3 linked regions of the Lytechinus pictus genome follow. The protein of the gene in region 1 purifies or fractionates together with the protein of each later gene. This does not show direct contact. Links are inferred from orthologs where the notes say so. Each region holds a gene or a part of one and is shown in the gene's direction. Other genes may lie near its edges.

Region 1 (7,126 bases):
CTCTTCACGAATGAGTGATCAAATTACCAAAAACTCACTTGGCGGGTGGTATCTGAGTTTCCAAAACAAATCATATCGTGTTTTAAAGTTAAATATCTGCTTTTTTATTTGATATCTAAGTTTACCGGGAAGTTTACTAGAAATTTCAAATGGGCCAGGCAGAAATAAAGTTCTATTCATTATAAAATAAAAAGGTTTAGAGCAGGGATTCTCAAATGGTGGCGCGCGCGCCACTTGTGGCGCACCGAGCCTTGCGGGGTGGCGCTTGGGAGCTGGTATTTAAAACAAGTAAAAATAAGGAAACATTGGGGAGAAAAAATGTATCTACCAGTAATTACCTGGAAATAAGGATTTGGTGATCATTTTAATACAAAGAAAAAACAAAAACTCTTTACTTGACACTTAATTGCTAATTTATTTCCTCATTTTTTCCCAATTTAGCACTCGATAACCCCCATTATAGAGGATCGATGGTGTTCTCCCTTTTATTCATTCTATGCTGTACAAAGTTTATGTGCCACACAAGTGATTTGAAAACCCCGTTTGTAGGATTTCTATTTCAACGGCGAGAAATTTTGCATTTCCAGCTAGAGTATACGTTTTGGTTAAGAGTTAAACATCAAATAATGTGATATTCAAAGAACATCCTGATCATAAAAAAATTATGAATTTGAGACATAACAAGCAGAAACTTTGTTTCCGGAGCCGATTAAAATCTGAAGTTGTAAAAGTGAAATACTATGCTCAGATGTATTGCCTGCCGAGCTTGCCTGCATGCACATGGATGATACTGCACGTGAGTTGTAAAGAGAAAGGGGCAGTTTGGAGCGCTAGTGCAGTGCAACGCCTAATTTTCAGCCCTTGCAAATCGGGGTATGTAACTTCAGCCACTGGCGTACAGATGGGGGTGGGGATTGGGGGGCCAAATGTTTCACGGCCGAGATTTTAAAAAAAAAAGGAGAAAAGGAAAGGGAAAGAGTGGAATATTGTATTATTATCTTAATATTATGTCAAAATATAGATTTTTATATTGAAAAGTTCAATATTTTTGCTTCAGCTGCCATATCTAGCCCCCTCATTTTTTTATTCATTACGCCACTTGCTTCAGCCAATAGATCTGGTGCAGAACAGTCTGAACTAGTGGTATAATATTGTATGTTGTGAAAAAGTCACTGGTCATTTTTCTTTTAATATTAATATTGTACAGTTTGTTGGCATTTGTATTTCTTCTGTTGATATTAATTAGAGCCCCTCTGGCCAATTTAAAAGGCCTCATATTCCAAAACTTCTGGGGGCTCTGCCCCCTCGACCCCCACCAGGGGCCTCTGGACCCCCTCCGCTGATACATTGCTGGTTTGCGTAATGGATAGTGGAGCATTACAGATTCTCGACAAGAAATGTGGCGCTTCCAAAAAAAGTAATTGAGAAAGGCTGGTTTAGAGGATAGCTGTTAGACTTAAAAGATTTCCGATCGCACTTCGCGATTGCAATAAGTTGATGAGTGATCGAGATACCTGCCCTATAGCTTTCTTCATCAGGGTCCTGTTGCACACTGTCAGGAAGGGAGGGGCTTTGGGCGAGCCCACGCCCCCCCCCCCCCCCAAAAAAAAAAAAATGAATAAATAAATTTAAAAAAATAATAATAATAAATAAATATGAATAAAAAATAAATCACGACCAAGGGAAAAAAAGAGAAAAGTAAAGGGATAACTGTGAAATGTGATATTATTTTCTGAATGTTATGTCAAAATCTATTACAAACTTGGATTCTTGAGATGAAAATGTCGAAACGTGTTTTTACACTCGCAACTTTTATTAATTTTACGTGATAGGTCAAATCAAGCCCCTCCAAATTTTTGGTTAATAAACGCCACTGCCTATGCTGCCCGTTGCATGAAAGTTACCATTATGGTAACATACTTTCCATCCAATTAACTACCATGGTAACAAGTCTCAACAGCCAATCAGAATCAAGGATTCAAGTCAACAGAACCCGTATTTATCAAGTATTTACCTCCCTCTACACTCGTTATAATATTGTTTGGTTAGTTTCACATCTACTTCACCATAGGCGCTTAGAATGTTCTGTCTTCGGGTGTAAATTACAAAAAAAAACTTCAGACACGGCGATCACATGAACTATTAATGATTATGACCTTAATTTGTTTTGCAAAAATAAAGCTAAATATCTTTAGGCCTATACAATTTCAGTGTTTAGGACTACCCGAACTCCAAGGCCTAGCTCCCCCCCCCCCCCCTTATTGGAAATAAAAACCCTGCATGGATCTGCCCCTATCGTTTCTCACTCCTTTCACGAGATCATGCCCAGTGGACTGGTAAAATGGGGGCACAGGACCAAAATCCAATTGAAGCCAGTTGTGTGTATTTGAGTTTTGTCAGACGTGTATCAATCAGATATGATTATTTACGTCTGGGACCGACCTTTAACGTCACCATCCGAAAGACGTGACCAGGGCTCGAACCTCTGCATCAATTTGTAACTTCCCCACAGCTTGGATTACAGGCGCACGCCACAACGCCCAGTTTGATTTCAAACTGGTTTTAATTGGTTTAATTTAACTGGAATATAACAGTTTCCAATTGAAACCAATTTGAACCAGGCAACTGGAAATTCTAACTGGAACCAGTTGAGTATAGCTGGAAATGTCTTCCAACTGCATGGAAATGACTTCTTACTGGAACCAGCATGACCAGTTGGGTAACTGGAAATCCTAACAGGTACCAGTTATGTACATGTAACTGGAAATCCTAATATCATATTTATATTCGAAGCTCCTCAATATAAATGTATATGTGAAAGCCTAAATTTTAATAATGCCCTTTATCATTGGTATCAAATTGGATCCAGCTAGATGAAACCAATCGGGTTTTTGCCTCCAATTGGAATTGACTGGTTTTAATAGGGAAATTTGAACAACTGGAACCAATTGATATGCAAATGCCTAATTGGTTTCGACTGAAACCAATTGAAACCAATAGCCAACTGGTTCCAGTTGCCTTAACTGGAATCAATTGGCAACTGGTTTCAATTGGAACCAGTTGTTCCAATTTCCCTATTGAAACCAGTTGGCCAACTGGTTTCAACTGGATTTGCTCTAATAGACCAGTTCGTAGTTACATCAGGGACAATTTTGGTCAAATGACCTTTCATTTATTTCATTATGATAGGCAGATTTCAAAGCAGGATATAACATATGCATGCCTTACATAGCAGGATGAAGAAATTGAATTATACCAGGTGACTAGAATAGCACACCATTGAAGACTCCATGAAGGTATTTGTTGCATTTCTACTTTGAATGCATATTATAGCATGTTGTACAATGTACTTGGCAAACTGCAGTGAATATATGCTAGCATATTATGTTTATTATGTTATGAAAAATGTATTATACGAATGTTATGGATGCAGAAGAAAACAATAAATCAAAATCAAATACCAGTCGTGGACGCATTTTTGTTCTTTGTGGATGCAAATGAAAAACACAATTGAAAAGAATATATGAATAATCAAGACACCAAAGCTGGTGCTTATCTCATTAAATTTTAAGGCCACCATGCCACTTTAGTACAAATGACCTTTCTCTGATCATGCGCAGAATGGAACTACGAACTGGCTTATTGGTTTCAACTAGATTTTGGACCGGCCGGGGGGGGGGGGGGTGAGCTGCGTTTGGCAAAATTCATAGAAAGTTGCCGCGAGTAAAAGTTTTGACATTTTTATTACAAATTTTGTGATAGATTTTGACATTATTTTTAGAAAGCAATATATTTCACCCTTCTCTCTTTCCAGTTTCTTTCCTTTTCTCTCTCTTTTTTTTGGGGGGTGGGCAAGTGCCCCCTATCTGTACGCCAGTGATCATACCGATAAGGTTAGTAAGATCGTGTTCTATCGAAACTTAATTGGTACTCCAGGCAGAACCACTGAACAGCTAAACTCACACAAATAAAACATTGAAACTTATATCAAAATCGGATAAGGAACAAGTTGTGAATTTTAATTACAGGCGGTGAAAAGTAAGTTCTATGCACGTCTTCATGAATATGCAACAGGGTTGGCGATTTTTTTTTTTTCATTATTTTTTGGAAAAAAATCGGATTTATTTGATTTAAATCAGATTTTTTTTTTATTCGGATTTTTTTTATTTTCTTTATTAAAAAAAAAAAGAAATTCTAAAACAAAGTGGAAACATAAAAAATGTAACACATACACTGAAATCATTTTCAAAATCATATATTTCACAACTCTAATTATTATTAGCTTCTATTTTCATAATCAAATCCAATCAAAATAATTATGAAATTATATTTATTAGAATTTTGTCCTCCAACAATGAAAAGAATGGATTGAGTATAATTTTATTAATCATTGGTGCAACTTGTTTTGCTACCCGGGGAAGCTTACACACATGCATGAATAGATCTATATGAGATGATTATGAATTCATGAAATATCATATGAAAAATGAAGGTGGAGAGTGGGGACATATCATCATCAGCCCATCTATTAATGATTGCTTGAAGGTGCAGTTTAAAATTCAATAACAAAGGGTGAAATAAAATAAAAAAATCGAAATAAAAACCAATATCACAATTATTTAGAATCGGAGAGTGTTGGCGCCCCCTGCGTTCATTAGTGATCATATGACGTGGATCTCTGCGATACTAAAAGTGAAAAATCTAGCTAAACCATCGGATTTTGTACAATATTGAGCTGAAAATGGGAATCAAATTTATTTCAGTTGATTCCCTAAGGATGCTATTTTTCTTCAACGCAATGTTTTCGAAACTTAATAGTTCCCTGCATTATTTCCTGATTGGGTTTCTTGGATGGCAGCTGGACTTGGCATTAGCAGCGGATCCTGATCCCGTCGGCGACGGGCAACCTCCGGCTGGCAAGACAACTCCTACGGCTACGCCACATTCACCGGGCTCTAACCTCGGCACTTCCAAAATACCGACCGCAAACACAACTTCGTCACATGATGGAAAATTCGATTTTGGCGATGTTTTGTATGACAAAAGCATGCTGAGAAGGAGTTTCTTTGTGCTGATTGGATTTACGTTATTAGCTATGGTGTTTTTTGCTGTCAGATGGTTCAGGTAAGAAATAATAATAAAAAAAATAAATAAATAATGAAAAAAAAACATGATTGATCTGTTTTCTAAGTTCGAATCAGATGAAAAGGGCTCAAATTATAAAACACATTTAGCTGGTTCCAAGAACATGAAGAAGGGAAACTATAAAGGAAGATCAAGGCCTTAAAATGTACCAGTTAGCCATAACCTTGTTCATTGAACTGCTTAACTGTTGAATGAATGCAGTTAGCTAGTCTTGACTTGAGGACTCCATGATGATGTTTTTTTTTCATATTTTGACATATATTACTTCATCATGGAGTCTTGAATCCCCGTCCATACATGTATATCTATAAGAGACACATGTACACAAAGATGGATTTCCTTCAGAGGGTGAAATCGGTTTGTATTGTCAAATTTTATTTATCTATGAACCTTCAGGCGCCTAATGCGTATAAAGGGATAAAAATTATTTCACTATAAATGGTAAAAATGAGACGTTTCTTACAGACCCGATCTCCCGTGGATCCCTCGATCCGTTTGTCAACAAAGCAAAGACCATAGACCTGACCCTTGAATCGCTTCGTGATGACCTATGACATACATCCGGTTAGTGGTTAGCTAAAAGTTATTACGTAATTATAAATAATTAGTATAATACTGCTAAATATTTATAATCACGTAATAAATTTTAGTATTTGTGAAATAATAATTTTTATCTATAAATTGTTCTTCAAAACGGCTTTGCTTACTGGATGTACGTCATACATAAGCGGTTCAAGGATCGACCCTATTGTATTTGCGTTGTGTACATTTTGATCGAGGGATCTACAAGACATCGGTCTGGTAAGAAACCTTCATTTTGTAACATTTCAATTGACCATTTTTAAAATCTTCCTATGCATTAGGCGTAGGAAGGTGTAGAGATTAATAAAATCACAACAATTTACGTGATTTTTATATCAAAAGCTGGATTTCCTAGGGAAATCCATCTTTGTTTAAAAGTGTCTCTTATACATATATGAAGGGCGGTTCAAGACTCCAATGATGAAGAAGTTTAGTCAAAGTATTTAAAAAAGACATCATCATGGAGTCCTCAAGACTACTGTTTCACAGCCTTCCAACTATGGTACATGTAACTACATGTATAGATACATTCATGGTAACTTAAAATGAGGAAACCTTTATTTTGAGGCTACATGTATGTTGAGGCCGAGCCATTGTAGACTTAAAGTTGCCAGAATGGCAAAGTTACCTTGGTTAATTCAGAACGGGCTTCTTGTCTTGAAGGAATCTTCACTTTAATTAAAAGAAATTCAGATACATATGTCACACTCTCTTTATTTGTGTTTTCACAGGTCAAGAGGAAAGAGAAAGTCCAAGAAATATGGGGTACTGGCAACACGTTCATCAGACATGGAATTACGACCACTCGACCAGGATGATGATGAAGAAGACATGACAGTGTTTGACGTCAACTCAAAATAGTAATAATTTATTTACACACCACAAACACTTTAACCTATCCAAGCATTAAAAAAAAAGAAATACATGTAATTTGCCTTGAAGTAAACAAGATGCATGAAGCACATTCCCTAACATATTTGTATGTACTAATGCATTCTTTGTTACTTATTGATATGCCAAGATGGACTTGCATGTACATGTATGTAAGATGTAAATGTATCAATTTAGGGGAATTTTGATAGGGGAAGGTTTATTTGTTAACCCTGGGTATTGAATACCATTTGTTGTGTCAAATTTTCATAGTATATTTATTGTGATTGGCAGAATGCCAAATACAGCCTCCCCCCCCCCCTCCTCCCAGTCATCTCTCAAAAAGCAAAGGTGCTTATATAACTACTTATATGTTTAAAGATCTTTATTATTATAAGATGTCATTTGAAAAGGAAGTTTTAAAAAATTGATGTACTGAATTTCTGCACCATGTGACTTTTAATTATTATGGGGTCATATTGGATCAAGTATCATTCTGAGAGACTTGATCTTGCATGTGCATTACCCA
Region 2 (7,603 bases), on another chromosome or scaffold:
CAACAAGCAGCTCTGACTAACGAAGCAGTGACTGAACGAAGGGGGCGTTTTTATATACGTTTGAGCTCCCTAGAAAAAAAGAGGAAAAGGGAGGGGTGCATGTCGGATGTAATCTACGCGAAAGAGGGGTAGGATGCAGAGGCGTAACCCAAAATGCAATCATTTTGGGGTTATGTATTATGACTGTTTCATTTTTCTAGTCAAATACTTGGTCAAACTATTAGCAAAAGCTAGATCCTATACTGGGGGGGGGGGGGGGTGGAAGGGAAGACCGGAACTGATCGACCCCGTGGGAAAATGGCTAAGATTTTGAAAGTATATCGGGCTAAAAATCAGTCAATCATCATGACAAAAGACAAAAAAAAAATAAACGTAGTTTAATACATACCCCTTAATCGCTTTCCGCCTTTTCTTCAACCCCCTTCCCCTTTCCTTTTCTCTTTGCCTCACCCCCACTTATAGTTGCACATGTTATTATAATTGCCCCCTTATTTGCTCCTATATAATTTGCAACCGCGCATGTTCTAACAACCTCTATAATAATCAATGCATGATTTTAAATACATTCTTACATGAAATAAAACATATAATGATTGGTGATTACCTCATCCAGTTATATTGGTTTAATTACTTCGACCACGACTGAAAATCTTCTGTTCAAATGCTGGATCGAAGTTCTTTTCAGTAATATCGACTGCATAATAGGCCTACTTTGCAAATAATGGTCAAGTTCACAGATTTTTCCAGGAACCTTAACGAGACATCACATTCAATCTGCCAGGAAAGAATAGCCGACAATACTCGGAATTATTTGCATACTATCCGTTGCTATGCATGGCAAGCATCTGGAAAGCCTTTGGGTTGTCATGCATGAATATCTTTTTTTGTTAAAAAATCTGAATATGATAGGAAACAGTTCTATTTATTTATACGTAGGCCTCGTGTAGATGCTTTCTTTCCCTTTCTCCCTCTTTCTTCCCTTTCTCCTTTGTTATATTTCCACTAATTGAAAATTCTAAGCAGTCGCCCCAGCACCCCTGTGGTGTCACGGTATAACGGGACATTTTGTTCATTTTTGTTAAATTTGACAACTCCCCCCCCCCCCCAATAAAAAAGGAGAAAGTTTTCACTTCTTAATGAAGGACGATTTATAATTATATGTCACAACAAATTTAACAAGCAAGCAAGTAAAAAAATAGATCGAGGGAAAATGTCGTCAGTTGTGTATCTACGACATTTTTCTGTGGCTGTGCCTCTATCTGCATGCGGATCCACAAATGCACAAATGCTCTCTTATCACACAAGTTTGCTATGTTTTGATAGTTATTTTGTTCATTAAAAAGTACTAGTCACTCGATCAACCAATTTAGGTCAATGCACCCCAACAATATAGTTTGATTTGAATTGAAACAACATTTTCACAAAATAGTAGGTAAAATAAGCATGACAAAGCTGCGCTTTATTTCATCATGAAAAACAACGGATGATATCAATATGTGTTGATCTATAATATGATTTCACAAAACAAACACATTACGGGTGGTATAGCTCTATAAAAATGAATGGTGTCAAACACTATAGGAAAAAATGATTTCGTAGTACATGTAATCAACAATCTTTCAGATAAAGGTCGCAGTGTAACGCTCCAAAAATTCTGAGAATGCCAGACATGGCGTATATGGGCAACATTATTATTGTACATGATAAATTTAGACATATAGAAAAGTAATATCATAATTCACCTCTATTCCTTTCATTTTCTTTCTTTTTTTTTTTTTTTTTCTTATTTCCATCTTGGTTGTATCTTTTATTTATTATTATTATTATTTTTTTTTGGGGGGGGGGGGGGCTTAAGCGTTTATAGATGCATGCCGGAGTCATTCACCTCCCAACTCCCTGCATGGTTTTACAATAGTATAGCCGGCCTATATTATGCCTACAAAAGAAATGATACAATTGGTTGCTTTATCGCCTGTGTTACAGTACGGACCGTTTTATGAAAATAAATGAAACTTTGAAGTACCTTAACTTTATTATTTTTTTCATTCGATTTTGATGAAATTTCAGTTACGAAATAGGCCTAGGCCTATATATAGGCCAATACAGGCCTCATTTTCTCGTTTTATCTTTTCAAACATTATTAAATAACAGACTACGTACTAATTATTTATAAGAGCTATATTGTCAGCTTATGGCCAGCTTATATCAAACCTCTTTTTTTTGTTATGGGGTCTATGTCTCTTGACACAATAGGGGCGTCTTGTACAGAGAGTGTCGATTGATCCGATCAATCGTAACTATGGACAGCCACACTGTAAAAAAAAATTAGTAGAAATTACTTAATAAAATTGTGGCAAAAAATTGCCTTAATTTTTTCAAGTATTTATGACTTTGGCAGTTTTAAGTAAAATTTACTTATTTTCTTTGCTTCCATTTTACTCAAGAAAATTAAGTTACAATAACTTAATTCAATTAAGTAAAACAATCACTAAAATATTTGAAAATATCAAATGGGGGAGTGGATGGACTTTCGTGATTCGAAAGTCCGCTCCCCCATCGTCCCACTTTTGGTGGCATCATTTTCATTTTATACATGTTTTATCCAATTAGACTTTGTGAATTGTCACTTACCTGTACATGTATAGGTACTGACATTGATAGTTAGTACGCGATCGTTTCATTCTTACAAATAAAACAGTGAGAATAATTTTCTGCTAAATGACTATTTAATGTTGCCTTTTCTTTGATTCAACAAAAGAATACAATAGTTAGCACACCCTTATCCAAAACAATTTCAAACACAAATAGAAATGACAGTTATTAAAAAAAAAACACATTTACTTGCTCTAATGAATATTCATGCATTATTTAAATATGGCGTTAATTGAAAATATAAGTACATTCAACATGATTTTATAAGTAATAATCATCTTTGCCTAATTGAGTTAGATTTACTCAATCAAAGCAAGCTATCAATACGTGAATTTTCTTAAATGTATATTGAAACCAAATAAATCAAGTAAATCAAGTAAATTAAAAGACAAGTTGAAACTACTTAAAAACAACGAAAAATAATTACAAATTGTAAATTCTACTTAAATACATTAAGTGTTAACTACTGATTCAATGTTTTTTTTTTACAGTACGTGCAGCAAGGTCAACATATGAAATGAATATTTGTTCAAAAAATTGTCTGGATATGAATGTATATCCATTGATTCACTGATTTCTTGACGAATTGGTGTGTTTTCCTAGCTTTGTTTACAAAAGAAATATTGTGAATTTCATGTAGAAAAAAATATGACCCTAATGGTGAAATTTCCATATAGAGTTACGATTGATTGGATCAATCGTAATTCTTTGTAAGATGGGGCCCAACTAGGTCCAGCTCTGAACTCTGTCAGGTGGGGAACCGTACTTGATTCGGAAATATGACTTTTGGCGCGCGCCCCTTGGGCCCAGAGGGGGGCACTCGACCAAAAAAGTGGTGGGGATGTGCCGCGGGCGAGACAAAAAAAACGGGGGCCTTGGAGCGGGCTTATTGTAAACAGGAGGGTCCTCGGAACGGCCTTTGGAACTACAAATGTTTGTGAAAACGGGGGTCCTTGGAACGGATCGCCAGCGTGTGAGTGCGTATGCCTCCCTATGGAACGGTCATGCGTGCATGATGCAGCTAGCGCGGCCTCCGCCGGGTGCGCTCGCGCAGAGCTGAGGCGATGGTCGGACAGCGCTCTGCGGCCGCTTTTCACCAAAATTGCAGCTCATTGTAGCTAGCAGATCAATGCTATCGGAACAGCGTAACGAAAAATATGCGAAGCTTTGGAGCGGATTTCTTTCTTCTTTTTTCTCAATAAGACAAAAATGCTATGCCTTGGAACGGAAATTTGAGTGTAAAAATGGGGGTCCCGGCCCTCCGCGGCACATACCCACTATGCATCATATACTGAGTGCCCCCCGGGCCCTTGGGATTGCACTCACTTCCTAGGTCGCTTTTATTGTTTATTATATGAATACATATTACCCTTTCTTAATTCACTCAGAAACAATGATATTTTTTATTTTGACTTCAAAAAAAAATATCATTGTTTCTGGTGAATTAAGAAAAATCAAATACACTGGCCCGTATTCTGAAGTCGGGTTTAACTTAAACTCAGGTTTAAAGTGGTGGTTTAAGTATGGATAGCCAATTGTTACATAAATCACTAACAGAAGGGATATAATATTTCAGCTCATTTGGCTCTCAAATCATTCATTATTGTCTATATAGATTATTGTCTTCACCATCGATGAATCCGGAAAGAGCACAGCAAACATAAGAAACGTACAACTTAATAAAAAAAATTGATACTTTTGGCTGTCCATACTTAAACCACAACTTTGAACCTGAGTTTAACTTAAACCTGACTTCAGAATACGGGCCATTAAGTCAGCGAATCAATAATGATCCCCTCCCAAGACCCTCCCCACAACCCCTCCTCCCTTTAATATTTCGTTTCATTGTTACCGTACGGTACATGACGACTGGAGACGAGGTTGCGATCGTTGATAAGCCACGTATAATTCTCTATTGTTGAAACATGGCAGCCTCCGTGCGAAGAACGCGAATGCCCATCGTCTGCTTATTGTTGTTAATTCTCGCCGTTTACAACAACGCCCATGGTCATCATGAAACAGAAAGTGGACACAGCCATGAGCATTCCCACGCTGAAGCAGCTGGAGCAAAATCTTATGAGGGAAATGTCTGGACAGATGCAATAGGTGCCACAGTTTTGATCTCTGCAGCACCGTTCGTGATCCTTTTTCTCATCCCGCTGGACAAGGGGCGCGAGGGACAGGAGTCGCTGTTGAAAGTGCTGCTCAGCTTCGCATCCGGTGGATTGCTTGGTGACGCGTTTCTGCATTTGATCCCGCATTCGCTTTCTCCGCACAGTCATGGCGATCATGGACATGATCACGGGCACGATCACGGACATGAGCACAGTCATGATCACGGCCATAGCCATGGTCATGATCATGACCACTCTGGACCAATGCTTGTTGGTAAATTCAAGCTTAAACTAGATATACTCCTCTAACTTCAAAATAATGTTTATGAATCTAGATAAAGTTCCACGAATCCAGAATAGTGTACTTAGGTCTGACTATATTTAACGTTGGATCTGTCAATACAGATTACAGGGTTTATCTAATTCCTAGTATTATACTTAGCAAAAGTTTTGATATCGAAACAATTAAATGCAATGGATATACCTCGAGCGAAGTTTGTGCAGGCTCCACTTCAATACCATGACTACCGCTACACTATGCTCCACCTACCCGAACTTTGAGACCATGAATTCGATCAGAAATTCCATGTGACAAAATGTGGGATTTTATGGTGGGAAAATATAAAATTAATGCGACATCACGATCTTTAAAAATAAGTACAAGTTACAATTAATATTCTTACTTTACACAAAGTTTCACTTTTCCATGCTTCTATCAGTCTCAAGTTTTGGCGATTTAGAGCCAACATGAAGTTCCTCACACGTATAAATATTAATGTGCTGCCGATTTCAAAACATTGCATGCGCGAGGTACCGAGCTCGGACCGGACCCGTTACCTCGCGTGTGAGATGTTTTAAAATCGGCAGCGAATTACTTATACGTGTGAGGAACTTCATGTTGGCTCTAAATCATCAATTTTGAGACTGATAGAAGCATGGAAAAGAAGTGAAACTTTGTGTAAAGTAAGAATATTAGTTGTACTTATTTTTAAAGATTGTGATGTTGCATGAATTTTACATTTCCTCCCCATAAAATCCCACCTTTTGTCACTCGGAATTTCTGATTGAATTCATGGTCTCAAAGTTTGGGTAGGTGGAGCGTAGTGTAGCGGTAGTGAAGTAAGTGGAGTGGAGCCTGCACGAACTTCGCTCGAGGTAGCATGGATAGAGATATTGTATGTAACACTCAACCTTTTATGAACAATGACCACACAGATGTACAAAAACGATTCTATTCTAATGTTGTTAGAGGGTCAACCATTCATTTCTTATCAATTTTTCTGTTCTGGGACTGGGTCCTGACTCATGTTACATAATCATATAGGTAACTCAAAATATGGCTTCCTTCATTGGCTTTTGTTTTTGAGCAAACCGTTTAATTGGCAGTTAACCTTAAATGCACAAGGCCACCACTGCCTGGTACTGGTGTATCATTATTTCAAAAAGTTCAAATTGATTGTAGTACTACTACTAGTAGAATGTAGGTTGGGGATTGGGTGTCCAGACACTTTATAATTTTGAAGCCTTTTTGTCTTTGGATTTACAAAAAAAAAATATAAATTCAATAGTTGTAACTTGTAATCATCTATTTTGTTCTCTATACTGTCTAACATTCTGTACTAAAAATGATAAACTTTGCTTGTTATTTTTCCAAATGGCTGTTTGAAATTGATTGTCCAGACACACAACAACTGGGTATACAGGCATTTTCATGATTTTATTTCCATATAACTAAACTGCAGTGAAGTGAGTGTTCTTTGTACAAGTCCATTTCTGTCATCAGAAATCCATTAGGGCCTATGTGAAAAACAATCAAATGCCACCCTTGTTATAAATTTGTATAAATGTTTTGGTAGTTTTTATGACATTAATCAAGGCTCCACACTAGCTGTTTTGCTCGGTGGCCCGATCGGTCCACCAAAATCATCAATTTTATATTTTTGGTGGCCCGCAAAGCAAATTTGGTGGTCCTAAAACAATAGAAAACATTACAATTTGTCATAACTTTGGTAGCCCGACCAGGCCACCAAGTGTAAGCTTTTACAGAAATTTGGTGGCCCAACTCTCAATTTAGATTGCCCCGGGCCACCGCTGACGTCGAGCCCTGCATTAATTAATTTCTTGATTAGTTTCCATGCCTGTCTATGAATACATTTTTAAATACTTCATGATCAAAGCACTTAAAAAGTTATTCTCCACTTGTTATTCGGACATCCGACAAGATTATTTTCTCCTTGTTGAATTAATTTTGTTTCTATCTATTTCAGAAGATATGGGTTCACTTGTGATCAACTTGATCTGCAAAATTATCAACCCAATATGAATGCAATTTAGCTTCATGAATATGTTAGATTGAGGCAATTTCTTGATTTGTTTTGCAACAGGCTTCTGGGTGTTAGTTGGAATTCTCTTATTTCTGCTGGTGGAGAAGTTTGTTCGCCTTGTGAAGGGTGATGGGGCCCATTCCCACAGCCAGGGGAAACCAAAGAAAGCACAAATTGAGGATGAAGGACCAGCACGGGAGGAAGAAACCAATGGAAGTTCTTCGCAAGTACGACGCAGGATAGCTGGGAAGCAAGAAGAGGCTGAAAAAGATAAAAAGAGCGTTGAACCAGAAGGTACATGTATGACCATTGACTGAACACAGTTGTAATCAATTTGTTGATGACTGTAGATATTGTATATGGCCATCTTTAGTTCCCATTAAAAAATATTCAGGATAAGAAAGCTTAGTTTTGTTACAGTTTATGATTTGAGTCTTGTCCTCAGCAGATCATATTGCATTAACGCATTTAACTGTCATCATCTACTATGGAAGTGTATTTCTGTTTTGTCTT
Region 3 (7,673 bases), on another chromosome or scaffold:
TCACTGTTTTGTGAAAAATATGCGAATTTTTAAAAATGCCATAACCTTCTTATTTTACATCCGATTTTGATGAAATTTTCAGCACTAGGTCTATGCTTGTTTGATTTTTCTCCATTTATTCAAGTCAGTATTTTCCTGGGGTGGACTTGACCTTTAAGGTAATAACATTTGTAAGGTACCAGTATGCACTTCTTGGCTTCACATTTACTTTTAAGTTTTATAGTAGCTTAGAAAAGATGTTTAAGGAAAGACTTCTGTCCCCTCCACTTAAATTAAAAAAAAAATACAAATAAGAGAGATTAAGCAAGTATAATCTGACTCAAAATGGAGAGAAATATTGAATTTCAGGAGTGCACTCGTCCATATTTGTACGCACACACTTGTGTACAAAGTGAATGTAGGTGGAAATGGGGAACCAATGCGTATGACTGAATAAAACGCTTCTGTACGAAGTGAACAGTTAATCCCAATTTCACAATAATGCCTAGTCTAGACTTTTCTATTTCTCAAGTCTCAGTCTGAAATTCAATAAGATTTTTGGCACACTTTATAGCTTTATAATTGATATCATAATTTTATAAGGAACATTATCAACTGATATTTGTGTGGAATAAACCTGAATAAAGAGACATTCATGTTTAATCTTAAGCTAATTTTTTTAGGTGCATAGACATGGGGGGCCCCCTTCGGCCTTCAAGAAGAAGAAAAATAGAACAAAGGTATTAAGAGGTGTTTATTGCTTTTGTCGTAGAATTTTTTTTAATTACACAGACAGTGCAAAGCAATGGAGTGGAGGGGGCATATGGAAGTCTTTCCAAAGATCCCAGTAGGATGGGGGGTCGGGTGTCCGGACAGTTGATCTTTTCAAGCCTTCTTTTATGTCTTTGGATTACACTAAAAATATGAATTCAATACTTGTAATCATCTTCTATTTTGTTTTTTATATTTCCTAACATTTTGTACTAAAAATTGATTAAAGCTAAATGAAAGTAGTTGCAGTAAAACACTAATTTCGTGAGAAAGTCTGTAAAACCAAGGTTAAGTATGACTCTTTATCCCATGTATGGCAGTGAGTCCAAACTTCGCGCGTGTCCATACTTCGCAGACGGTCATTATCTAAAAAACTAGCAAATATCCTTAAAATCTGACATCATCAACATGAAAAGCGACCTAAAATTACCCTTTGGTGTAAGTTTCTTTAGGATGAGTTCAGTATTCATGAAAATATTGGCAAAAGATCGGCAAATTTGTCACCGTTAGCGCCCGTTTTGAAGAAATCTGATATTCTCAACAAGCATCACGATATCACCATTTTGCAAGCAGAAATCATCTAAAATGTAAGTTAAATGTGGTACTAACCGATTCTATAGCATTTTGCCATCAATCTGATATAAATATTTCACTTTTTGGGCTTGAGTTTTTGTTTAAATGTCCACAAAAACTTTGGTCCGCGAAGTTAGGTCACACTTTTTCTGAATGGTTTTCCAGCACAGCGCGCATTCGCCGATCGGAATAGAATTTTGAGATCGCGATATACCGGCGAATCCCCTTGACCTACTTTACATTTTCGTCCATGATTTTATAGTTTACGATCTTGCTGTCAATGTGGTAACTATTTCTTGAATTGGTTTTGTATAAATTATGAATATTTTGTTAGAAAATTTAAGCCTGATGAATATTTTTGAAAAGTGCGCGAAGTTTGGACACCCCATCATACATGATTTAGAGCTAGATCTAGTTTTAGAAGGAAAGTAGAAATCTCGGGGGGGAAAGTTTCAGGGTTTTTTGCGGTACATGCAGCAGATGAATAGGGAGGACTCCCTGGCTTCGTTTAGAGTAAGCCTACATTAGTAAATTTACCAGAACTGGAATTTACCTTTAAACTTCGCTTGTAATTTTTTCCAAATGACTTTCTAAAAAAACTATAATCGTCCGGACACACAACCTGTCCGAACACACAACAACTGGGTATACAGTTCACTTGATGACTACAGGAAAAAAAAACTAATGTCATGAACATCAGTAAGCTTACTACTAACTGAATCAGAATGGTGATATTTATAGACTAAAGTCGACGTCGAGTGATTTGTTTTTCTCACCATTTTCATACCATCCATCTGCAACACCGTCCTCGATCAAATCTTCCATCTCAAAAGGCATGACTGAATCCCATTCAATATGGCTATAATAAAGCCAAGGCCAGGCCAGGCCAAGTCAGCAATGGATGCTGCAGTAGTTAGTTGTACAACGAAGCCAGTCTCCTTGATTCCAGATTTTCGAAAGAGTGAGGCGCCGACACAGAGGTTCTTCGATCATGGCGCAGCAGCAGAAGTCAAATTATGCGAGCCGCGCCGGTGGGAGTCTGAGGTTCCAGTGTCGGGGAGATTCGGGGTACTCGAGTCTCTATTCTCGTTGGCTCCGCAGCTGCAATCGCAATAGAATGACGTGTGCATGTGTTGTTTTTAATCTACAGATGGCGCTATTCAAGTTTTGTTTGTGAGCGCTTCGATCAGACAAGGCCTGTTGCATATTCGCTCACTCAAATGCTCGAACAAGCGAATATTCCCCCCACTGAAGCAGGGGCCGCGGAACCGGGGGGGGGGGGGGGGGCTGGGGGGCTTCAGCCCCCCCACTTTTTTTAAAACCGTGTACAAAAACTTAAAAATGACCATATGATTGTGATTTTTAGCATGGTCAGCCCCCCCACTTTTGGCTCAGCCCCCCCACTTTGAAAACAGTTCCGCGGCCCCTGTGAAGTAATGTCCGACTTCACATTTGACCAACACCTGCTAAATAGGCCTACATGGTCCAAATTTGTGCCCAGCATATTTCAGATGGGGGAGAATTTACTGCCCCATAAAAAATTGTACTTCATTTTTCACCAAAGTCAATCCATTATCTGGCAGATTTGACCTTTTTACGCGCCAAATCTACATGTATTAAAAAGTTTAAGTTACCAAAACTGGGCTTGCTTCACTCTCTCACATTCTTCTCCACACAGATCACTGTATAAAAATGAGCTCCCTCAAAAATATGTTGTCTCATACCCTCAGTTCTGACCCTCACTGGTCTCCATAACAAGGAGGGCCTTGCTTGAGACCTTCATCTATTGCTTGCCCCCCCCCCCAAAAAAAAAAAAGTATTTTTATGTCAAGATTAAGAAAGTTATTAAAATTGTATGTTTTGCATTTGTGACATCATAAACGAGTAGCTGCCTCGTATGTTAGGCCTATGCAATGTAACATATAATGTTTAATGGTTCGTGATGACTCATTTGCTTTCTTTTTAAGGAAAGGGTGTGAAATGATTCGTCTATTGATATACACAATTAATTTACTGAGAAAATGACATTTCATTGATTTTTGTTTACCATAATTGTGTTGGAAAGCTGCTCGCATATGACGTCAAATCAATTAATACAATTCTAATAACATTTGTATTCTTTGATTGATTTTTCTCAAAACTTCGGCAATATTGTTATTTTTTCTGCATTTTTACAATAAATAAAATGTTTTTCAGGGTGAACTCCCACTTTAAGTCTGTATGGGTCGGGAGCCAGAGCCAAGAACGTATGTTGGCCCTACCCCTCTTTTCCTCCTCCTAGTTCCTTTCAGTTAGAGAGGAAAATAATAAAAAAGAGAGAGGGGAAGAAGGGGAATTAAGGAAGAGAAGAAAATGAGAGAGATGAAGCGGAAGAAAAAAAAGGAAAGAGGAAGAGGGGAAAAAAGAAAAAAGGGAGAGACAGGAAGAAGAAGAAATCCATCCAACTGGAATGTTTTCATCATAAATCAAGTCATCAAGATGATGATGATGATGATAATGATGATGATAATGATGATGATGATGATGATGATGATAACGGTGACGATAATGATGATGTAATGATGATATGATGGTAATTATGATTATCGGATGATAAAAATGATGAGGATGATGATGATGCTAGATGATGATGATGATGCTGCTGCTGATGATGATGGTGATAATGATGAAGGTGATGATGATGATGCTCTTCGGATGATGGATGGAGATAACAATGTCGATGATGACGATATAGGCTTAATGTGAAAACTCCAACGTTCTGACCCTTAGACCTATTTTATACCTGATGGACCTATATATAGTAGGTCCATTTTTATACCCACTCCCCCTCCTCCCAATCACCATTTGATTATTTTTGTTCTTATTTGTTGCTCTTTTCTTTTTATTGCATGAGGCAGGGCCGGTGCTTTTTTTTTTTTTTTTTTTTTTTTGGGGGGGGGGGCCTTGGGTTAGGGCTTTCTTTAATAAGTGGATATCTAGTTTTATATAATATAGTTCCCAATAACATAATTGCATTTCGTTTGAATCACCCTTCATTTATTTTTGCTCTTATATTTTTCTCAGTCTTATCTTTGCATGGGGGATGCGGAGGGGGGGGCTTTATCTTTGTTTATCTTCTTGGTTCTTACCAATTGTGGGAGATATTTTAGATGGATATCTAGTCAACCATGCAGTCCCCCATGATATCCGATTACTTTTGTCTAAAAAATCATGATGTACAAACATTGGATTCTATATAGTTTATCGCCGTGGCTCTTTTTTTGCACGGTCCATACCAGCTGACGAGTTATCATTTATACGTGGCGCTTTACCATAGGATTCTGCTGCTACCAGAGATCGGAAGATCAAGAGGAGCATCAGTGTTGGTGTTTACATATCAGCGCCACGCGGCTAGCTAGCTCCCCGCCCACTTTATGCAGCCGGAGCCGCCCAGCTAGCCTAGCCCCGCGCTAGCGGATCATGCTTGCTAGTTCTGATATGCTGCAGTCCTGCGGGCAGATCCGCCAGCTCTCTTGTTCCCAAATTCGGAATTCACTTTCTTTTCTTGATCTCAATTAAAAATTCATCAAAATGTTGCAAGGTTATGATCCAGTTACTCAGTCTTTATTTGGTACTTTGTTTACATGGGGGTTAACAGCCGCTGGAGCTGCACTGGTGTTCGTCTTTACGAGTGGAAAGGTGAGAAATTTGAGGGATGTAGTCCCACGTACAAAAATCTGCGTAATGTGAGTTAGTGCATTGCCATTGATTTGCCTTGTTGGTAGACAGAAATAATGGCATTTTCTTGGGATTTATTTATCAGTTTCTGACATTTTCAGTGTCATCCCCAGTACTAGGTGAGTGTAGCCAATGTAGTATAACAAACGATGGAACGTGATGCGTGAACAGAGACTGGTTTGATAATTTTTTATTTTTTTTCATTATCCAACTGTGAAAGGGGAATCCAGCCTTGGCCATAAAATGTGTTGGGAAGGAGAAAAATGAACTAAACAGAATAGTGAAAGTTTGAAAGAAATCCGACAAGCAATAAGAAAGTTATAGCTGCTTTAATTAAAATTGAGATCACTAATAGTATGTAGATTTCAAATTGGCAACTGGGTAAGTAAACTAGTATTACAAGGGGCAAGGTAGCCCAGGGAGCTCCGGCCCGCTTTGCGGGCCGGATCCCAGGAGTCCACCGACATTTAGACATAGACACAGGACTAGGGCACTCTAGGCGACACCGCAATACTTACCCGTGTTAATAAAGTGGGACTCCGCTTAGTCTTGAGGACGCAATGATGATGATTTTTAAAATAATGAAATATACTTCTTCATCATTGACGTCTTGACACTCTTCCCCCAGTCGCATAAGAGAAGGACCATAATAAAGATGGATTTCCCTCGGAAATCCATCTTTAGAAACAAAAATCACTTTAATTGTATTGATTTCATTAATTTTCACACCTTCCTACGCCTAATGCGTAGGAAGGTTTTAAAAATTATAACATGAAAGTGTGAAAAATTTAAGGTTTCTTACCTAACTGATGCTGAGTAAACCCCTCGATCCACATGTAAACAACGTAAGTACAATAGCGTCGACCCTTGAACCGCTTATGTATGACGTACTTCCGGCTAGCGATGCCGTTCTGATGAATAATTTATAGAAAAAAAAATTATTTCGCAAATGTTAAAATTTATCACGTAAATAAAAATAATTGGTATGAAACTGACAATTATTTTTAATTTACGTGATACATTTTAACATTTGCGAAATAATATTTTTTTTCTATAAATTATTCATCAGAACGGCATCGCTAGCCGGAAGTACGTCATACATAAGCGGTTCAAGGGTCGACGCTATTGTACTTACGTTGTTTACATGTGGATCGAGGGGTTTACTCAGCATCAGTTAGGTAAGAAACCTTAAATTTTTCACACTTTCATGTTATAATTTTTAAAACCTTCCTACGCATTAGGCGTAGGAAGGTGTGAAAATTAATGAAATCAATACAATTAAAGTGATTTTTGTTTCTAAAGATGGATTTCCGAGGGAAATCCATCTTTATTATGGTCCTTCTCTTATGCGACTGGGGGAAGAGTGTCAAGACGTCAATGATGAAGAAGTATATTTCATTATTTTAAAAATCATCATCATTGCGTCCTCAAGACTAGACTCCGCTCACGCGCGTTTGGGCCTCCCTAGCTTAGAACTAAGCACTAATATCACCTTAAAAACTAAATCTACAAGGTATGTATAATCTATTTAGTAATTTGATAATGTTTAAACGGTACTCACCAGTTCTTTTGATGTATTTTCTCCAGAATTCGCAAGGATTTGTCCCAAATCTTGCGACAAACTACGTCGCGGTAGACAGCTGTACATTCTTTTTTATTTATAAATAGAGCGCCCCTTACGATAGTTGTTAACAACGCGGCAAAATCGTTAGGTTTTTTGCACTGTGTCCAAGGCGTTTTTATTTTGTTTTATTTTTTACTTTTTAATAAATATTTTGTTAAATAGCGATTTTTACGTCAAATATTAAATTTATATCACAAAATATTTTTAATTGTAGAGATATATATATTATCATGCAATTATTTATTCTATATATATTTTATAATAAAATTTATAATTGTTGCGGTCTTTAAAAAAGGATAGTCGATAGATCAGGTGATGACTACACGTATCACGTGATCTGAAAATCAGCTTCATACCGCTTTGATCGCACTCGACGGTGACCGCACTGACTGCCAAGAAAAGATCGAAAAAGGACTCAATGTAAGTTTCCCTTTATTTTATTAAATCTTAAGTAGAAATAATATGATATTTAATGGGCAATCTTTTAATAAATGATAAACAAACGAGAAAAAAAAATCGTATTTAGGGAGTAATATCATACTTGGGTGCAGGAAACAGTAACGGTTCTACTTCTAACCTGTTTTTAACGCATTGTCGCCTATGAGGTCCATACATGTAATGTTTGGACCTCATTGGTACTAGGAGTGGGTAGATTGGGGTCTCAATAACTTTTTAAAATGTGAAAACAGAAATTATGCACTTACCATGATTATAAGGATGAAGGTCAATCGTGTGACAGCATTCTGACATCGAGGCACAGACTGGAACCTCAAAAAAACGAAAAGTTCTGTCGCGATGTACCTCTCCTTTCAAAATTCATAACAAAATGGCAGATCGAGACTGGGGTAGAAGGAGAGGTATCGCGACAGATCTTTTCGGTTTTTTGTGAGGTTCCAGTCTGCCTCGATGTCAGGATGCTGTCACACGATATACCTTCATCCATATAATCGTGGTACATGTAAGTGCATAATTTCTGTTTTCACATTTTTTAAAAGTAAGTTATTGAGAC

Evidence for each region.
Region 2: the proteins of membrane protein FAM174A-like (region 1) and protein catecholamines up-like purify together in Homo sapiens (co-immunoprecipitation; 3 studies listed by BioGRID and IntAct, with this or other methods). This does not show direct contact. The link is inferred for Lytechinus pictus from reciprocal best matches to the Homo sapiens genes FAM174A and SLC39A7.
Region 3: the proteins of membrane protein FAM174A-like (region 1) and zinc transporter ZIP11-like purify together in Homo sapiens (co-immunoprecipitation; 3 studies listed by BioGRID and IntAct, counting the BioPlex papers as one, with this or other methods). This does not show direct contact. The link is inferred for Lytechinus pictus from reciprocal best matches to the Homo sapiens genes FAM174A and SLC39A11.

What each region holds. Positions count from the first base shown.
Region 1 is NC_087249.1:17,117,685-17,124,810, reverse strand, and holds membrane protein FAM174A-like, read left to right. Parts: upstream 1-4,798; coding exon 4,799-5,124; intron 5,125-6,458; coding exon 6,459-6,588; downstream 6,589-7,126.
Region 2 is NC_087259.1:18,778,297-18,785,899, reverse strand, and holds the start of protein catecholamines up-like, read left to right. Parts: upstream 1-4,496; 5' UTR 4,497-4,577; coding exon 4,578-5,040; intron 5,041-7,150; coding exon 7,151-7,384; intron 7,385-7,603. UniProt on the Homo sapiens protein: Transports Zn(2+) from the endoplasmic reticulum (ER)/Golgi apparatus to the cytosol, playing an essential role in the regulation of cytosolic zinc levels.
Region 3 is NC_087254.1:12,733,516-12,741,188, reverse strand, and holds the start of zinc transporter ZIP11-like, read left to right. Parts: upstream 1-4,654; 5' UTR 4,655-4,893; coding exon 4,894-5,001; intron 5,002-7,673. UniProt on the Homo sapiens protein: Zinc importer that regulates cytosolic zinc concentrations either via zinc influx from the extracellular compartment or efflux from intracellular organelles such as Golgi apparatus. May transport copper ions as well.